Linked DNA regions of Schizosaccharomyces pombe. The protein of the gene in region 1 binds, or shares a complex with, the protein of each later gene. Each region holds a gene or a part of one and is shown in the gene's direction. Other genes may lie near its edges.

Evidence for each region.
Region 2: rtc6 (region 1) and mrpl38 share a complex: the UniProt entries of both Schizosaccharomyces pombe proteins name them as parts of the mitochondrial large ribosomal subunit.
Region 3: rtc6 (region 1) and img1 share a complex: the UniProt entries of both Schizosaccharomyces pombe proteins name them as parts of the mitochondrial large ribosomal subunit.
Region 4: rtc6 (region 1) and rml2 share a complex: the UniProt entries of both Schizosaccharomyces pombe proteins name them as parts of the mitochondrial large ribosomal subunit.

What each region holds. Positions count from the first base shown.
Region 1 is NC_003423.3:1,518,089-1,522,072, reverse strand, and holds rtc6 (mitochondrial 54S ribosomal protein bL36m), read left to right. Parts: upstream 1-1,582; coding exon 1,583-1,861; 3' UTR 1,862-2,043; downstream 2,044-3,984. Other genes in the region: Lid2 complex histone demethylase H3-K36 subunit Jmj3, read right to left, coding at 1-629, 686-802; RNA-binding protein Yme2, read right to left, coding at 2,084-3,984. UniProt on the Schizosaccharomyces pombe protein: Component of the mitochondrial ribosome (mitoribosome), a dedicated translation machinery responsible for the synthesis of mitochondrial genome-encoded proteins, including at least some of the essential transmembrane subunits of the mitochondrial respiratory chain.
Region 2 is NC_003423.3:3,549,760-3,554,080, forward strand, and holds mrpl38 (putative mitochondrial ribosomal protein subunit L38), read left to right. Parts: upstream 1-1,584; 5' UTR 1,585-1,588; coding exon 1,589-1,630; intron 1,631-1,673; coding exon 1,674-1,731; intron 1,732-1,794; coding exon 1,795-2,075; 3' UTR 2,076-2,132; downstream 2,133-4,321. Other genes in the region: RNA-binding protein Cwf29, read right to left, coding at 1-27, 118-122; sorting nexin Snx3, read right to left, coding at 261-345, 426-622, 678-743, 793-876; SPOM_SPBC887.08 (uncharacterized protein), read left to right, coding at 2,359-2,484, 2,543-2,791; leucine-rich repeat protein Sog2, read right to left, coding at 3,063-4,321. UniProt on the Schizosaccharomyces pombe protein: Component of the mitochondrial ribosome (mitoribosome), a dedicated translation machinery responsible for the synthesis of mitochondrial genome-encoded proteins, including at least some of the essential transmembrane subunits of the mitochondrial respiratory chain.
Region 3 is NC_003424.3:1,638,553-1,643,871, forward strand, and holds img1 (mitochondrial 54S ribosomal protein bL19m), read left to right. Parts: upstream 1-3,142; 5' UTR 3,143-3,202; coding exon 3,203-3,751; 3' UTR 3,752-4,380; downstream 4,381-5,319. Other genes in the region: structure-specific endonuclease catalytic subunit Slx1, read left to right, coding at 91-189, 231-947; erg8 (phosphomevalonate kinase), read right to left, coding at 987-2,259, 2,326-2,333; anaphase-promoting complex ubiquitin -protein ligase E3 subunit Apc11, read left to right, coding at 4,556-4,574, 4,618-4,740, 4,958-5,100. UniProt on the Schizosaccharomyces pombe protein: Component of the mitochondrial ribosome (mitoribosome), a dedicated translation machinery responsible for the synthesis of mitochondrial genome-encoded proteins, including at least some of the essential transmembrane subunits of the mitochondrial respiratory chain.
Region 4 is NC_003421.2:694,262-699,671, forward strand, and holds rml2 (mitochondrial 54S ribosomal protein uL2m), read left to right. Parts: upstream 1-1,650; 5' UTR 1,651-1,660; coding exon 1,661-1,822; exon of another isoform or gene 1,823-1,846; intron 1,847-1,895; coding exon 1,896-2,822; 3' UTR 2,823-3,221; downstream 3,222-5,410. Other genes in the region: transcription factor TFIIIC subunit Sfc4, read right to left, coding at 1-584; RNA cap binding protein cbc3, read right to left, coding at 3,344-3,491, 3,614-3,866, 3,919-4,138; protein mug123, read left to right, coding at 4,777-5,410. UniProt on the Schizosaccharomyces pombe protein: Component of the mitochondrial ribosome (mitoribosome), a dedicated translation machinery responsible for the synthesis of mitochondrial genome-encoded proteins, including at least some of the essential transmembrane subunits of the mitochondrial respiratory chain.

The sequences.
Region 1 (3,984 bases):
CCAGCTAATTTTTTAAAAGACTCACTATGTGCTGAAGGTATCACATACCATTGCAATGAAGAGCCACCTAAATGTACCTGAACTGCATGCAGCTCAGGAGATTCTACCCGCCAAGGAAGGGTAGTTTTCCATTTCCCAGCAAATAAGTGACCAACATTTGGCCAAGTGTTAATCAATGTATTCGATCTTAAATGTACCCTATCTTTTTGAGCAGCAGATATCGAAGGTATAAAATAGAAGGGGATCGATGGGCGATTAGTATATCCATACCACAGACTGTCATGGGTCAAAGAACGCCAATAATATGCAATAGCTTTAGCCACATTGTTTTCAAAGTCATTAGAACTTCCAGCGTTTGAAGGAAACCTGTCGTCGACATTCATATCGGTAGGCTTTTTAGGACCAGCCGAGCCATGGTCTATATCGCTTTGAATCTCGAAGTACTCTCCTTTCCGTCTCACCATTCGCTCTAACCATAAATCCATTTTTACATCGGAAGGTTTCATTGTATCTTCGTTCCAAGGATTTAAAACAGAACTAGGACGAACAACTTTAATTGCGCCGTATTTCTTGCCAAGCCTTTCAACGCGCCGAATAAAACTTTCCATATCTACAAATTCTGAAATTTTCTAAACAAATTTTGTTAACATCCACAAAATATTTAATATTTTTCGCGTAAACTTACTGGTTCCACAACAGGTATGCCATCTGACCCTTCGATATGATAATCGATTTCACACTCCAAAGAACTCACTGATGTGTCACTTTTGCCAGCATGTTTCTCTTTAACATTTTGCTGCATAGCAATCTATTTTTCAGCCTTTGGATTGAATATTTTGGTGTTTTTGAGACATCCACCAATTCGTGGGATTTGCTAAATTTTCCTTTAACAATCTTTTACCAAGGCAAATGACGCATCTGCACTCCAGTTCCATACCCAAATTAGCAAAGTATAACGAACTCGTTATACCAGCAACTAAAAACATAAACAAATTCTCAAAAATTGATCATTTCAAATTAATCGATTAGCATGCCAAACCAAATAACGTAGAATCAAAGTTATTAGATGATGCGGTCAATTAGCTATTTTAGGGACTAAGAAGGTCAGAGACTCAACATTAAAATTTTCATTTGTAAACAAAAAATGGAGCTACACTGTTGAGTTGACTCCACTTTAATAAAAGTATTCCTTATTTTAAAATAATGTGATAAATTTCAGGTCAAATTGCTCCACAGTAAGCTGGCTATTGAATTTATAGAATAACAAGACATGTTGGTTGTCACTAACTGACATGTCGTAGGTTAGCTTACTAGAAGCACTAACTACTATTTATTTTCCCAACAAAGAATATCCAACAAATCGGGCGTAAGCGAGTTTATATAACTTAGTATTCACCTTTTTTTTTTATGAAAATCTTCTCTTGTTGATAGGCATTTTCTATTATCGTTCTTTTTTGGCTCAGTCCAAATTGTGAACACTTTTCCATCGTACATCATTTATTTAGCTCAGAATTACTTCGGATCCAAAAAAATTTAAACATCTTGACTTGAAGTCCCAGTTTCACTTTTTTTTTAACTTATAATGGCTTCATTAGGTCGTAAATTTTTTGCTGTGGGTGTTTTGTCACGAGTCTTCCCTTCTGCTTTTAATGCACAAAAAGGGTTGTTAAAAAATGCATCTATGTTCTTAACCCCTGCTTTCAGACTTTCTCCTAGCCTTCTACCTTGGAACTTTTCAAGAGGTTTCAAAGTGAAAGCATCAGTAAAAAAGCGTTGTTCATCCTGCTATTTTGTGCGTCGCAAAGGTAGGTTGTATGTACTATGCAAAAAACATCCGAGACATAAAACCCGTCAAGGTTAATGACTATAACCGGTTTCGCTTCTTCTTTTTTTTTCTACCTAGGCTAATTCTTCATTACGCTCACTTCATATTACGACGATTTTTGGACTACCTACCAAATCCTTACTCCCTTCTCTCTCGTTAATGCGTAGTCATTAAATGTGATATTATTGTTGACATTATAGCTTCATGCTAAAGAATTCATAAAAACATACGTAATCTTAAATGATATGCTTTCGCATCTTAGTCGATTTTTTTCAAAGCCTCAGTAAGCCTTTCTATACTTTTCTCATTATCAGTAATAACACCTTGATTTTTCTGGATACGCGTCGTTAAGTAATGAGCACGATCCTTCACACCTGATTCAAGGTTCCCAAGGTCCTTTAGCATTTGTAGCTCCTGTTCATCATTCTTGATAGCATTGTTAGCCATGCCAATTAACGCGTTACATCTCACCAACTGCATATTAGCACTTAATACTGGATCATTTACAAGTTGCCGGAAAGCCGTAACATATACAGGTTTTCCAGCGTAGACTTTATCCGGTCTTGCATTCACTGTGGTAATAGTAATCAATTCTGATTCTTCCAAGGCACGAACGGCATCGTCGTGTCCTTTGAACAGTGGGTCAAGCATCAACATATGATAGGGTATATATTCATGTTGAGATAAATAAGTAATTAAGGTCCATGACTCTTCTGGAGTGAACGTTGGCTTCTCCTCACTGGTTAAAGAAGCAGGCCGTAAAAATGTTTGCAAAATATCAGAGGCATTTTGACTTACAATACCGCCAATTGCTTCAGAAACACTGGAAGAATTAACCCGCAACCTACGAGCTACATAATCAAGATCACGAAGTCGGCCACCAATCTTCGGTAATTGGACCCGCAATTCTTTCCTCAATTCTTCTGTTTGCATCTCTTCGGGTAAAGACTCTATGACATATCGCTGAGCAAGTACAGGGTCAGCATCTCCTAATAACAATGTTCTATTTTCCCAACCGTTGACATATTGCTCTAATGACTTGGTGCCTCCAACATCGGGTGTTAGCATTAGTACATGAGCAATTCCTTCCTTTACCAAATTACCAGCCCATTCAGCAACCACTCTCTGCATCGGGTTTGATAATTTACGAAGCTGGAAATTGTCGAGAATAACAACAGGTAAGCGATCTGCATGAACTTCTAAAAACTCAGATTCATCCAACACACTAGTATCGGCTTCTTTATGCTCTCGTAATGCTAGAGAACGCAATACCGTTTGTGTTGTGTTAAGAATTTGCCGCACTTGTCCTTCACTAGAAGAAACAATTCCCGTTTTTTGTCCTATGAGACCTTGTGCAGCCATATCGATAAGTGACGATATGTTGTTTAGGAAGCTAAAGAGGGGGAAATACCCCGTTTGGCTAGCAAGAGTACTTACGAACATTTCCGTATTAGTAGTGGAGAATAAGCGATCACAGTCGAAAAACAAAACATTTTTTCGTTCTTTAACAACTCGATCTACCAGATCACGCTTACCACTACCACGAGGACCTTGAACAACAATAAAAGAATGTAATGCTTCATCCAACCATTCTTTCAACTGTTCACAATCCTTTTCACGTGTTGTCCAAATCGGTGCCTTTATATTTGTACCATTTTCGTGAAAGGGACTCAAAACTATATCGCGAGTTTTCTTTTTGACCCACCCAACAACATTGATATTTCTCAACTTCTGACCATGTACAATGTTTGTCTCGACAAAGAACTTTCTTATCGGATCGAATAAAGAAGCCGTTAAAACTGTAATAGCCGCCGCAACCAAAGGAATAGTAAAACGAGGATGAGAGAATAACCAGTCTTTGAAGGCGACAAAGCGGTTCATATGTCTGTATCGCATGTGGAATTCTGTTTTCCCATAAACAAAACCATGCATACAGTTTAAAGCTGACGTAGCGGACCTTAGCGATGAAAAACTCAAAGTAGCAGAAGTAGGTGAATTAATGGTCACGGATCTTAGTTTTCCATATGTCCTAAAAATACTATACAATCTTTCCTGGGAAAGGGGCGGACCTTCGAAATTCACATCTACTGTACGAGATGGAAATATATATAAATCTTGAAGCCAAGGAATACCATGTACCATGTGTGGAATCGGGGTAG
Region 2 (4,321 bases), 2.0 Mb from region 1:
TTTAAACGCTCAATTTGACGAATGGAGCTACTTTTGTTAATTTTAAAATTAAAAAACGAAAACAGCGAAAAGATGAATCGGATTTTTGCTATATTTTAGCCTCAATAGAAAACTTACTTCATAACAACCTAAGGTATTTTAAATGGTAATTAAACTTTGTAACAGATTGATTTCCAAATTTTTCTTTTAAAATAAAAAAAAAGATTGACAAAAATTAACAGTTGGAGGGCAAAATGGAGAAAAACAAGTTAGCGGCGGGTTTATGGCGTAGGCTTGAATTCCGGGCTTTGTAAAAAAGAAGATAAAACACGAGAATGGGTTTGAATAAGAGGATGTCCAGCAACTCTACATAATAATGTATTAGTTTTTGTGCAATTTAAAACGCTCTTTGGGGCAATAAGGCAAAATTAACATTCAATACTTACAGTCGTAAAAAATTTTCCAAACCTTGTCTACGTTCTTCGATAACATCATCTCTAAATCTTTGAGTGAATATCTTTCCTGGAAGTGGTGGAATTGAAACACGACCGGACTCTCTTTCAAGCATATCGTGAAATTTCTCGAATTCGCTGTAACGTCGACGAACGCTAGAATTATGTAGACGAAAATAGGGCATATTGGTCTACAAAAATGAGTTAATAATCTGCTATCAGAAGATGAATTTCAGTGGTACCTACCCGACAAACAATTTCATAAGTAGTAAACATGTTTCTTCCAATACCGTGAGTTTGTGGATTTATAACCTAAAATAACATCTATTAGAAATATTTCGAAATAATAAAGTAAACATACATCAATTTCAAGGATGTTTTCAGGAACATCATACATTTGTTGAGTAGTTTGCTGCCTGATTTCCGGTCTACTTAATTTATCCATTTATTTACCCTTATTACTCTTAAGAGCGATATCCAATATTATTTTACTGTTTAACAAGTAATAGTTGAAATTTTGAAGAAGTTTAAAAGTTTCGATACAAGGTGTAGTGTCTAGCTCAGATACGGGTACGGCTAATGAGATTCATAATCGGATCGCAAATTAGTAAGGCGTTTACTGTAAACATATCGCAGAGCATTTTTTCAAACTGCGTCGTCTAAAGATGAGAATGATAGTTCATTTGCTTCCAAAAAATAAAATGGATTCACTAACGTCCAAATCCTCCTCTCACTTTCAACAAAATTAACGAGTAATACAAAATCAAATATGTAGCATACAATCCATTATGATATTTTAATATGATAAGAGCAATTGCTAGTCAATATCACATTTTTGCTTTAATGACTATTCCACAACTCCATGCATGATGAAGAATTTGATTAAAACATGTGTAACAAGCAAAACATCAGAAGGTTAAAGCAAGATAACAGGTTATGACAAACAATTTGCTTGGAATAATTTCATATTTGAATGCATCTAATCAAATCGCTTTTTTTTTAATACAAACAGTTGTTTTTATTTATATATTTTGCGATGTGTTACATACTACGATATGCCAACTAACGTCAAATACCAAATTCTAATATTACGCATAGTGTAATTTATAGTGGAAGCGAGTACGTGAATGTATGGTCAAGTACTTGAATCTTTAGCAATGATCGGACTTAAAGGTATACTCAAAGTTATCGACAATTCCGTAAGTTTAAAATATTACTATTTGTACTAATAAGATGGAAAAGGGTGCTACCTTAGCTGAGTGCATTCGTGTAGTTCGCGCGGGAAAATTCGCTTCACTTGGTAAGTAGCACGAAGTGATCTTTTGTTTATATTCGACTAACATCACCTTTTTTTAAAAAACAGGTGATGAAGTGGTAGTAGTGGTAAAAAAGGCACGAAGCGGTTCATCAGTTACTGCTGCTAATAAAGTTAAACGCGGTGATATCCACCATGCTATCATTGTTCGGACGAAATCACCAGTTCGAAGACCCGATGGTCGTTATGTTCGTTTTGATGATAATGCCTGCGTCTTGGTTAATAAGGAGTGTGAGCCTCTGGGAACCCGTATCTTGTCAGTCGTTGCCAACGAGCTCAGAACAAAACATCATACTAAAATAGCATCTCTTGCTCCACGAACCATCTGAAAAGGGTATTGTAATGTTAATATTTCACTTAATTAAAATATATTTTTTAATTTTCTATTCTACGTCTAATTAAGGGACCTTGTCTCTTCAGCAAACACTTTTTACCTGATAGCCAATTAAGATTTTGCTTTTTTGGAGTTTTGTTACTCGTAAGCATTGTGGGGTTAAAAGGTTTTTACTACACACTTTTTTAGTAAAATACAGCTGTAGCAGGCTTTATTATATAGTCCATTATCTGTTAAATATATCTGATCGATCAAAAGAATTTAATGTTCTAGTAAGAATGGATTTGCTGGCGATTGATTTGGATTTTGATGTTAGTGAGTCAAAGCTTGAACGGAATAAGCGATTAAAACAGAAAGTAAGCATTGAAACTGATGGATGGACTCCAAGAGTTCAATGTTTTGGTGTATGTTACTCATTTTTTACTCCCAATTTATTGTCTATGATTTTAACAGATTATTCAGCATCTTAGTAAAAATGGCGTCGTCCTCGGTGAAGAAGCCTATATTTTAGAGCAATCAAAATTTGCAGCGGAAGAACAATATTATCTGGGAAACTATTCCTTAGCTAAAAAGTTTGCATTTCAAGCACTTGATGTTCCAACTGATAGTTCCAGCATTGAGTACCACAGACTGAGTTCAGGCGAAATCAATGAAATTGAAGACATCATCAGAAGATGCGAAATGAAACTTGAAAATAAGCAAAGCAATTAATTAGAAAAAATTTTTGTCTTGTCAAAGAGTACCTACCCAAAACTACACACTCTGTCTAATTTTTGTACATGATTTTCATGTGGAAACAGATTAATCACTACTTGTACCATCATCCTTTACAATTTGTCCTTGGTTTTGTTATTTGAATAAGAAATAAATTAATCAAATTCAATCGTGCATCATTTTTTGTATCATTAAATTTATAGTCTTTGTAGGCTTTTGAGTTATCGAGTTACCAATTATTCCTCATCAATCTTCATTAAAAAATTCTTTAGCGCTGTAAACCTTCCACGTTCCCATCCGCGTCAGTAAAGTAATCGATTTTATTAGTACTATAGGCTGACGCCGGAATTGCAGCTGGTGACATGATTAGAGGAGATGTAATAGATTGAGCAGCCGAACCCAGAGCCGCTGACAACGGTGTTGCAGGTACGCGGGCTATTGGGGACATCAAAGGAACAGGAGTGGCTAAAGATGACTCAGTGTAATGTCGAGCAGAGGAAGAAAGTAAGATAGTAAGATCTTTTGTAGATCTTGTTGCAGCTGAAAGACCAGCTAATACGCTTTTTTGGAATGTATATTCACTGGATAACGCTTTCGCTAAATTTGCGACTGCAATAATAGACTTGACAAATGCTTGAGTGTCGTCCAAAAAAAGCTGCCATTCCAATTCTTCCGGATTCGTTTGAAAAGTTAGAAGGCGATGCTTAAGTTTTCTAGTAACATCACAGGCGGCGGCGGATAATGATCCCAATTCACGTAACTTACTAATCAAATTGGGTGCGATGTTTTCATTTACTAGATCAGGCTGGTTATTTTTAGGAACAGCATCAATTAGTAATGTCAAAACTGACATTGCACTGTTTGTTGCTAAAGCGACCTGATCTTGTATTTGTTTATCAATTTCAGGATTCATCACTGATGCTGGTTTTTCAACGCTAACGATTCTGTTCGTAAGCCCAGATGCAGTCCGGATCATACTTGTCGGAGATTGACGTACCTGATCGGCGAATATGTTATTACCACTATGGGGTTGTGATGGACTCAATGGTACCAAGGCGTTTTGTAACTCCTTTGCAGCATCGAAAAGAATTAGCAGTAAAAGCCGAACATATCGGACATCCGCACGACTAGTGAGCTCATTTAAAAATTTTTTTGTCACTTCAATTAGTTTACGAAACGAGCTGATACAAGACAATGAAGCGTTTACTATGGAATTAATGTTTGCAGTTCCATCATTGCTTTGTTGGGTATCCTCAAAGCACAGAATTAGCCGCTTAATTTGAACATTGGCAGTATGTAACACATGACGCATAGAATCTAAAACAACGGGGTTGCTGCAAAAAAGAAGTTGCTGACGAAGGGCTTGTTGGACTTGCGAAAGCGAAAACAATATGCCCCTAGACGACTCTAAAGTTTTTTCAAAGGCCGAGTGCTTCATTTCAACCTCACTCCCTCCAATGTTACTGAAGTAGCTGTTGACCGAGTCATTTGTCAAATTGGAGCCATTTTCATGCGTTTCTTCTTTTT
Region 3 (5,319 bases), on another chromosome or scaffold:
TTAACTTAACAAGCTTATAAAATTACCACTAGTTAATTGTTCGATTACCACGGGTTAAGAGAAAAGTGCTATCGAAAAGAATTATGAAACATGGATTTGTGCAATTTCTACTGCTGTTATTTACTAAAGTCGAATAGGACACAATCAAGTGGAGCTGTTTATATCGGTTCCACACCAGATCCACCTAGAGTAGGTATTTTGTGCTATTATAGGAAACTAATTTGTTTTAGCGATTGCGGCAACATAATGGGGAAATAGTTGGTGGTGCATCAAAAACTAAACACGGGCGCCCTTGGTCGATTTCATGTTTAGTTTACGGCTTTCCTAACAAAGTGTCTGCTTTAAAGTTCGAATGGAATTGGCAAAATCTGGGAATCTCGAGGTACACTAAAGATTGTGATTTCCGTTCAAAAAAACAAAAAACCATTATGTATTGTCTTAAAGGTTTAAAGCATTTGGTTGACAGTGATACGTGGAGAAGATGGCCATTAAACATCACATTTCTAAATAAAACTGCTTTCAGTAAATGGAATCAACTTGGTAAAACTTATGGTAATATCAATGTATACTTCGACGAAGAATGGTTAAATGGGTTTCACGAAAAAGTAATCCAAAAAACTTACGATCATAAATTATGTTTAAGAAAGACAATATCAGAGCCTGTTAAGTGTAACCTATGCTACGAATGTATCGAATCTGATGAATTGCGGGCTAATTGCCCTTTTACGGATTGCAATTCAATAAATCATTTAACTTGCCTTGCAAGCAGTTTTCTGACAGAAGAATGCCAGGTTCTTCCAATCGAAGGAATGTGTACAAAATGCAAAAGAGTATTGAGATGGAGAGAGTTCCTGTCTACGGTTTTCACTACTTCTTTAGAAACTGACGAACGAGATTTTGAAAGCGAAAATAGAATAGAAATCATAGATCTAGAACTAGAAAAATAGCGCCAATACTGTGTCAGCAATCTCTATAGTTAGTCTTGTTTATTCTACGGCTAGCCCATCGAAAGCAGGAGAAACGTCCATGGGTACTACCCCATCATCTTTCCATGTTTTGATAACATTTTCGATTATCTCCGTATGGTTAATGGCCAAACAAAATTGTGCATCAAATCCGCCGGCTCCAGGAACTCCCACACCAATGACACCAGGCAACTGCTCTATGTTGTCTAAAATATTTGTTTGCTTTAAAGGTTCTATGTCAACCTTTGCTTCAACGGTAATTCTTTGAAGAATACGACGAATGGATCGAAATTGACTTTGAAGTTCAGAGTCTAAGCTTTCAGAAGAAAGAAAACAGTTTTTGATGGAAAGCACTCTTGAATACAAATCATCAAAGCAATTCTTAGATTCCTCTGGATTTTCCTTTTGCCATTGCTGTACTTTTTTTACCATACCCGGTGTGCTACTGCCACCAGCTACGTCCCCCATTAGCAAACAATAAGTAGCAGGCAATTGAAATGGAACAACATCTGACCATTTTTTAGAAACTATTTTTCTCAGTTCGGTGGAAAAATTTATGTTCTTTATTTGTTCGTCGTATGGGACCAGCAGTTGTTCAATTAATTTAGGATCAAACCTTCTATAAATACAACTTCCCCAAGTGGCAGCGCCAACATCAAACCCACTTCCTACTTTTCCTTGTGCAGAACAGTGGGCAATTTGTGCCAGATTGTGAACTATGACTTTGGTTGAATCATCAATTTTGAGAGATTTGTCACCAGTGTCATCTGTTAGTCGTCTAAGACTTAAAAATAATGAACCTATAAGACTTGTAATCATAGCTGCCGAGCTTCCTAAACCAGTCTTATGTACTTGACCTAAAGTACAGTTTAAGAAATTGAATTTTGGATAGCTTGTTTGATCAGGCTTTAACTGTGGTTGGTGATAATAGGCATTATCTACCTGCAATGTAACTTGAAGATCTTGCCAGCATAAAGGTTGTCGCCCCGTGGAAAAAAAGTAGTTAATTACATAAAAAAGTGCCAGTTGAACGAAGGGGTTTGGATTTTTTTCCAATTCACAGTTTTCATATATCTGATGAACTCGAATAGGAGATACAGTCCAATCAATATTATAAAGCCATTCAGCGTTAATGAATTGAGGGCTTTTCACACGAACCGTTCCACATTTATCGTCCAAAGTCGTTGTGGAAGCGTACCCTTTGGCAGTTAAACCAATAACAAGCCCGCTGTATTGAGGATCTAAAACAATGTATCCACCAGCTATAAGTACTTTACCAGGAGCAGAGCAGGTCCTGCCAAAGACGCTAGTTAGAGATGGACAAAACAGAAAAAAAGAAAAAAGACTGGTTTCAACTTACACTTTCATGTTGATATATTTTTGTCTTGAATATGGATATCTCTATAATGTTTTGTGTGTCGTAACTTTTTTATAGGACCTGAGAAGGAAATAGAAAGGAATGTATGACTTCTATCTTACGTGATAATCTGTTGAATTTAGAGAAATGATATATCAGTCAAAGTAAAAGAGAGGATTATCTTCGAACAGTAGCTCCTGAAAAGTGTTATTCTAAAAATCAAAAAAAATAAAAAAAGAACTGATCAAAGAGTATCAAATGTTATACAGAAACTAAAGTTGCTTTGAGTAAATCAACTTTCTAAATCATTATCGTATCGTTCGTTTCGCAAGATTTGCTTGTGGAGAAAATAGTATAGAAAATTAACGTTAATTAAGGAGAGTTCGAAATCAGGAATACAGAGATTACATTAACGCATATTCATATTAGAGTATATAATTGATTGCATATAAAATAATATCTTTTACGAAAATGGAACATTAAGGTGGAAAGAAAAAAGCAAATCTTGCTATTGAAGTTTTCTGAATACCAGCGAGTTATTGATAGTATTATAACTACAATGAGAAGCCATGTAACTGAATTGGAACACGTATATTCATTCGGGTTCAACAGGAATCTTTCTATTGCCTTGAACATTCAAGGTCAGAAACACAATCCTTGATGGATAAATCATATAAAAATATATAATCAACTGTATTAACTTACATAGTCTAATATAGCGTAATGGAAGGTTGACAATAAATAACATATAACGAAATACGTTGTGCAGAATTTGCTAATTCATTTTGAATACCATCGTACTTACTTAAAAAGATACTCTGTAGAATATAGTGTTTTGTCATTCTTACTAACGAACGGTATTTAATGACTTTTGGAAGACATGTTTAATGCCAAACACTTTTTCAATTTAGGATTGGGCTTTCAATGGCTACAAAAGAGAGGTATTGGATCGTTAAAACGGCCTTATAACTTTCCAAAGCCAGTACCAGGTCCAAAGCACAAAGATGTGTTATCATTATTCGAAAAAAAGTGCCGTTCAGTATTGGATGAGCAATCTGAGCGATTCAAAATGTTTCATCGCTCGCAGCCAAATCGAGTAAGACCAGGCGCGGTTTTACTGGTTGAAAGCTACTCAAAATACCCATCAAAAGATTCAGTCAACAGATTTGCTGGTTATCTACTGCGAATTCGGCATCGTGGACCAAAAAGTTCAATCCTGTTACGAAACGTGGTAATGGGTGTTGGAGTCGAATATTTGTTACCAATTTACTCTCCACAAATTAAACGTATTGTTGTCCTCAAAGAAAATGGTCTATCTAAAAGACCTAGAAGAGCATACTTAAGTTACTTGCGTCAACCTCGCTTTCGTCTTCCACCTGTTGAATCACTGGTGCGAAAATACATTGAACAAAATCAACATAAACCTTGACACAATCATTGCAACTTCTGCAAGTAAATTTCTTTTTTTTTGCGAATCTTTCATGATTTTATTCAAGAAGCGCTGTATGATTTATAGTTCGTTTACACTCTATGTTTCCCTATCTACTTGTCTTTTTCTACAGGCTATTGCATTTAGAACTGCATTATAAGAGGCGTTGGTTGGTTTTCTGGAACAGATTTAGAGATTTGGATGTATATTTCGGCTTTAGCCTGTTTGTCAAAACACGTATTATCGATTCCATGAAACGGCAATGAATCACCTCCTTTGAGCCTTTTACCCCCTTCTCATTCTTTGAATCGACAAGTCACATGTCATTGCCATTAATTTTCCCAGATGAATTTGTGAGGCACTATGAATCAAAACCTCTACTTTTTTCTTATAAATTTGAGCTGTATGTAGGCTTGCCTCTTCATAATTCTGCGCTTTGATTATTTTGAATAATATTTGAAATTATTCATGTAAAAAAGTATAAAACTTGAGCTCAACAATATGTTATAAGCTAAAGAAGCAAAGTATCATAAATATAAAAATTTTGTTAGCATGTCGAATGTAGCCGGCTTGTTACAGTCCAATGAAAATTAGTTTTAGTTAGAAATTTTAAACTTTCAGAAAACGAAAAGATGTATAGCTAAAGCCAAATATCAACTGTAAATCTACTAACTCTTCTCTTCTTACGACATTTTGTTTTTCGCCTGAATTGTTTTCTTAATACCGTGGTAGAACGTAAAACATTAGCTAGCAAAAAACACTAATGTTTATTTAATTAGATCTCAAATACAATATACAAAGACTATGAAGGTGAAAATACTGAGTAAGCGAATATTTTGGAAATAAAATTGTTTTCTAACCACTAGGATACCATGCAATTGCTAACTGGACGTGGGATACCCCAAAAGACGACGTTTGTGGTATATGTCGTGTTCCATTCGATGGATGCTGCCCTCAATGCACAAGTCCTGGAGACAATTGCCCCATAGGTAAGAATATGTTTGTATTTATTTCCTGAATATGCTCTGCGGAGGCTTACTTGTATACTTTGCATCCTAAGGGGGTATCAGCATGAAAATTTGTTGCGCAATTGGGTTGGTTGTGTTCAAATAATCTTTAATCTAATATTCATACTTTGTTTTTGTTAAAAAGAGTTTATCATGGGCATCAGCTTTCACAGAATTAATTAAAGGCTAACTACGCTAGTTTGGGGGAAATGCAAGCATATATTTCATGCTCACTGTATTCAAAACTGGTTAGCTACTAGCGGTTCTCAAGGTCAATGCCCGATGGACCGTCAAACTTTTGTGGTAGCAGATTCTACGAATGAAAAGTCTGAAACACAATAAATACGATTGACGTATCGAATAAGACTTCCAAAGAATCCAACTCAATAGTCACGATTATTATTATTACAAACGAGATAAAGTTGGAAGCATTTTTTCGTTAACGAATAATTATTACTGTAACAATATAGAAGCATGCAGTTTCAGGAAAACCCTACTACACCATATCAAGCAAAAACTATTCAAAAAAATCTATTTTCAACGGTTCATTATTCATAATGC
Region 4 (5,410 bases), on another chromosome or scaffold:
ATCCAAGCAATTAAGCACTTTTCAATATTTACTCTTCCATTACCCCTTTGACGATGACATTCACCAAGCATTTTCCAAGCCGCAATGACATTATTATCAATACGAACAATCTCTTCAGCTAATTTTTGGGCTTCGTCGAAGTTTCCTTCTTGCGCAAACAAATGATTCGCTAAACTCAACATTTGTTGCACTTCCACCGAGGGAAGCATATCAGCTCGACTAACACGTCCTCGACCTTTATGACCTTTACGGACTTTTCTAAATCCAGCAACTGCCTTTAAATTTTCTTCCCATTCCTCGTTCGCAATGTCGTCCTCGGTTCTTGAGGCTGTTTTACTAAAGTTTGATTCATCGTCACTGCCTTCATAATCTGACTCTTCGTCTGACCAAAGGCCCTCAGCTTGAAGGGCAGAGGTATCTCCCAAAAATTTTGCATCAACTTCAGATACATTCCTAGCCTCATCGACAATTTCGCTTATATACCCGTTTAGATCTTGCATTTCAGCATCAAAGTTGTCAGTTGTATCATTTTGCGTTTCATTCATATTGGAATCCACATAGCTATTTCCACCATTTTGAATCATCCTTTAAGATGCTCAATCATGCTTTCAAATCGGTCTGTTCCTTTTGCCTACTTGAAGTTGGCTGTTTTCGCGTTGGCGTTGGTGAAGGCAAAGTTGAAGTAAGTCATTATAGAAGTACTCAATAAACAAAGAGGTCATGGGTACCACATATCTTGTTCTACAATTGACTAATTAATATGAAGTCAATAAATATTAGTCCTTTTTTCCTGACACCAGTTATTTTACTTGCAACATTTTTGAATTGCAAACTTGACAATTTTGATGTTGTCAAAATACCTAATATCTGTAAGAATTTGGAAGATCCTAGTCAATCAAATAGTGTTTTTCACTTTTTTTTTTGGAAAATGGCATCTCAAGGCTTTTCATGTTGATTGACCTTTGTCAGTGTACACAGAGTATAGTATCGAAACCTTTCATAAGCAAACTAATAAGCTATATTAAACAAACGCAGATCAACCCCATCTTCGAATTGTTTTGAAACGAAAATGAACGAGTTAACAAAACAAATTTCCATAGTTGAAACTTTTCGTTGAAACTGTATATTAAATAAGATTTTTTTGGTATGTGAACTTATTTAGTAATTAATTAAGCACACATCCAAAAAGGAATGTGAGAAGAGTTTTGTGAGAAAGCAATGTTTTCCTGATACCTTGAATCCCTTAAACTCTTCATGCTCAGCAGGCTTATTACAGGTGTCGTAAATTCTAGTTTAACTTTGCTCAACTCGAAGGAAAAGCAAATTCAATTTATCAAAATTTCCAATATATTATAACGTGGTTGAAATTCTCAGTTGACCTGCCATTACTTTCAAACGTATAGAATCGGGTTTACAATGTATAAAATATTTACTACACAGATGATCAAACAATAAAACAAAGTTCTTCATTATTATAGCTAATGTGTTCAATTTCCTCTATGTTGTATTCCCTAGATCAATGTTCATTTATTTACACAGTTAACGACACCTTGGATTGTGTAAAGATTTTAGCACTGAGCGTCGCAAATTATGATTGAACTCGTTAATTCGCAGTCCATCATATTGTGAGTTCTTACCATAGGTTTAGTTGGAAATCCCCATGTTGAGTTATAATCGATTTCGGGGGTATTTGATTCCTCAAATTCATGCGTTAAAGCTGTTCAGATATGCCTCTACCGCATCTACAAGCGGTGAAAAAATTGAATCTTCCGAGAGACCCTACGATGTAGGGATGCTTCTACGACCAAAAACGAAGTTCGAGGTATGTAATATTAACACGAGGGTTACTTTTTATTTATCAAGCCTTAATTCATTTTTTACTAATTCTTATCAAGATTAAAACTTACAAACCTATATCTCCTGGTCTTCGTCATTTAAAAAGACCAGTTAGTGATTACCTTTGGAAAGGGAAACCTTTTCGACCTTTGACCGTTGCAAAAAGAAAAAAAGGTGGAAGAAATGAAACAGGAAGAATTACTGTAAGGCATCAGGGTGGTGGACACAAACAACGTATTCGTCTTGTTGACTTTGAAAGAAAAGTACCGGGTGTTCATCGAGTGATTAGAATTGAGTATGACCCTGGTAGAAGTGGTCACATTGCCCTTGTTGAAAAATTGAATTCCGAAACAGCCAACAAAAGTTATATTTTGGCTTGTGACGGGCTTCGCGAAGGCGATACAGTTGAGAGCTTTCGATCGCTTTTGAAGACTGGTTCTAATGGCGAGCCAGTAGAAATGGACCCCGTCCTAGCTGCTGAAATTGAAGATGGAACTTTTGCAGCAAAAAATTTGAAGCCAGGAAATTGTTTTCCTCTCAGATTAATTCCTATAGGAACTGTCATTCATGCCATTGGTGTAAATCCAAATCAAAAGGCAAAGCTATGTCGTTCTGCTGGCAGTAGCGCTCGTATCATAGCTTTTGATGGTAAATATGCTATCGTTCGTCTACAAAGTGGTGAAGAGAGAAAGATTTTGGATACATCATTTGCTACCATTGGTGTTGTAAGCAATATTTATTGGCAACATCGCCAGCTTGGTAAAGCCGGTCGTTCACGTTGGCTTGGCATTCGTCCTACGGTTCGAGGTACAGCTATGAATCCATGTGACCATCCACATGGTGGTGGTGGTGGTAAAAGCATTGGTAATAAACCTTCTCAATCTCCTTGGGGTGTTTTGGCTAAAGGTGGATACAAAACAAGAAGAGGTAAAAATGTTAATAAATTACTCGTCCGCGATCGTCCTCGTGGAAAGGAAAAGCGGTAATCATTTTATTAATGATCTCTGTCTTCATGACTTTTACATTTCTATGTTTTACATTACCGTAATGCATTTCAATTTTCATGATCCCTTCTCCATTTTAATAGTCGATGCTATTACCTATCCATTTGTGGACCAGATGCATTTATGTATAGTTATTTTGTGTCGACCGTCATTTATCGACGAAAAATTTTAAGCATTTTTTAAGAGTTTAGCTCTTACAATTTAAATCTGTATTGGTAATTTTTGTTCATCACAACGTTGCTTAAAGCTAAGGACTATCCCATTCAAAATTGTCGTTTGCTTACATCTACCTTAAAAGGGTTATCGATATCATTCAGGTACCAAAAGAGTATTCTATTAAACGCAGAAAAGAACGGTTTTATTTTAATATGGCCAACTAAATAAAAAAATTTTATTTATAAAATTGTAGCTAATTTAGCATATTAATTTTTTCTTGCCTTCGTCCAGCGAAAAGCGACTTAAAAGCGGATAAACTGGGTATTTAATATTTCTCTACAACACAATTAACGCTTGGAAACCCTGGAACGACGGTCTCTCCTTGATTTGCGTGGCTTGCGTCGAACTTGGAATATTCTTTCCATCAGTGTAAGGTCAGACACTTTAGGACCTAGTCGTTCATCTAATGGCGAACCCCTTTCATCTTGATTTCTACTGTGCGAAAGTGTTAGTAATTTGAATATAAAATTGAGTAAAAGGAGATTCTCAAAAGTAGAGGAAATGATTTTTGAAAAGTATGAGTGCACCCGGACTAATTTGGTTTTCACAAGTTATACCTTTTAGATTTGCTCTTCTGAGCCTTTTCTTCTCGAGGATCACCGTGAAACAGATAATATCTCGAGTAAAGATGTGCGCTTTTAACCTTCTTGTCTCCGTAGCGGGCGTAACGTATTTTGAATTGACACGTCGGTACAGTTGGGTGTGGTTTCGTTTGATATTCCAATTCCTCTGAAAATTCTGTCGGAGACTCCATAATTAAATGAAATAAAGCATTTCGTGAAACATCATCATCCGCATAAACAACGTTGCCTATACGCGGTTATAGAGTTAGACTAACCCTTTGCCAGTTTTCGCTTCTTACATTCGTTATCATTAATCCATTCAATTGTACATTGAGATTCAGGAGCATAAGCTGAAATAAATCCTTTGACTTGTTCTTCTGAAAGATTATCGACGCCAGCTAGATGTAAAGCTGTTTTACGCAATGTAGTATCAGCCACCACTTCCGTTTCTAATGGAGTACTAGTGGCGTCGGGTATCAATGATTCTTCTTCAATCTGAGTCTCTGCAACGATATCCATTTAAATCTACTTCTCTACAACTGCTTCGCAGACATGCAGTTTCCAAAAGAGTGAATGTGCCGTCCAAAGAAAATTACGACGCGCTATAATTTGCTATACGAGAATAACGAGAGATGAAAGATCCCTATAGGCAATGTAATCGGTACAGTCTCCTATAATGAGTGAAGATCGGAAGTCAAATGTAATTTGTATTTAAAATTAAGAAGGAAAATGGAGATTAAATCGGCTTTTTGCATGTAAGGCTCGTTTGTGTAAGAATCTACAGTACGCTAAAGCACATTGAATTGCGTATTGTTATTTACAGAAATTTATGGGATATTACAGTAAAACCTAATAAGATTTACCTCTGGGACACCGTATGTTCGAGAATGAGACATGTAAACATAGCTTCCGCACATTTGCAATTTTCAGTACGAAACATTAATTCTTGCGCTTTTCAAAGATATATGAGCTTTGTTTAATTAGTTTTAGCTGATTGCTTAATCAAATAAAAGATTGTCTATCTTAACACCATTCGTTTTCTAATCCCGGCATTTGTCTGTGAAATTTTTAAAAATTAATTGGAATTACTCTACAAGCAACTTATTCAAAGAAGGAATAAATAGATAATAATCATTACTAGACAGAAGACTAATCGCATGGAACGTTTAGCTACTCGATCGAGCCATGATGATCCATATTCGAGGTCTTCCCTTCCAACTTCGAATGCCATTAATAGCAACCATGAGTCAAATGGTTCTACTTTTTCTTACGTACAGAGTTTACGCCGTGCAAAGGCGACTGTCTGGAGTGATATAGGCCGTGTGGCTCCTTTACACTCTAGCCCATCAATCAAAAGTTCATCACAAAATGGGAAGTCTTCCAGCAAAGGCTTAGGAGGCATGCGCTCAAGGGTATTTTCTAGCCAGCATCATGGTGTTTATCACACCCGTCCTGCTTCGCTTCATTCACGTACAATGGCTCCTCAGCACACCATTCTTACTCCACGATTATCTGCTACCGAAGGTAAGGATGACGATGAGGACGAATTGGTAATTTCGACATCGAATACTGCACCAACATATATCTCAATGATTGAGTCTTCACGTGCCAGCTCAACCCATAGTGGGACTGCACCTTCCATTATGGGAATGTCAATACATTCAAGAGCAGACTCCAGAGCCGAAACTACTCAATCAGACGGCTTTGAATCTCGTAGCGGATCACCTACTCATGATATTCAATCTTATCTTGTCAATCGACGAAGCAGCAGTTCTGAATCTTCAGACGAGG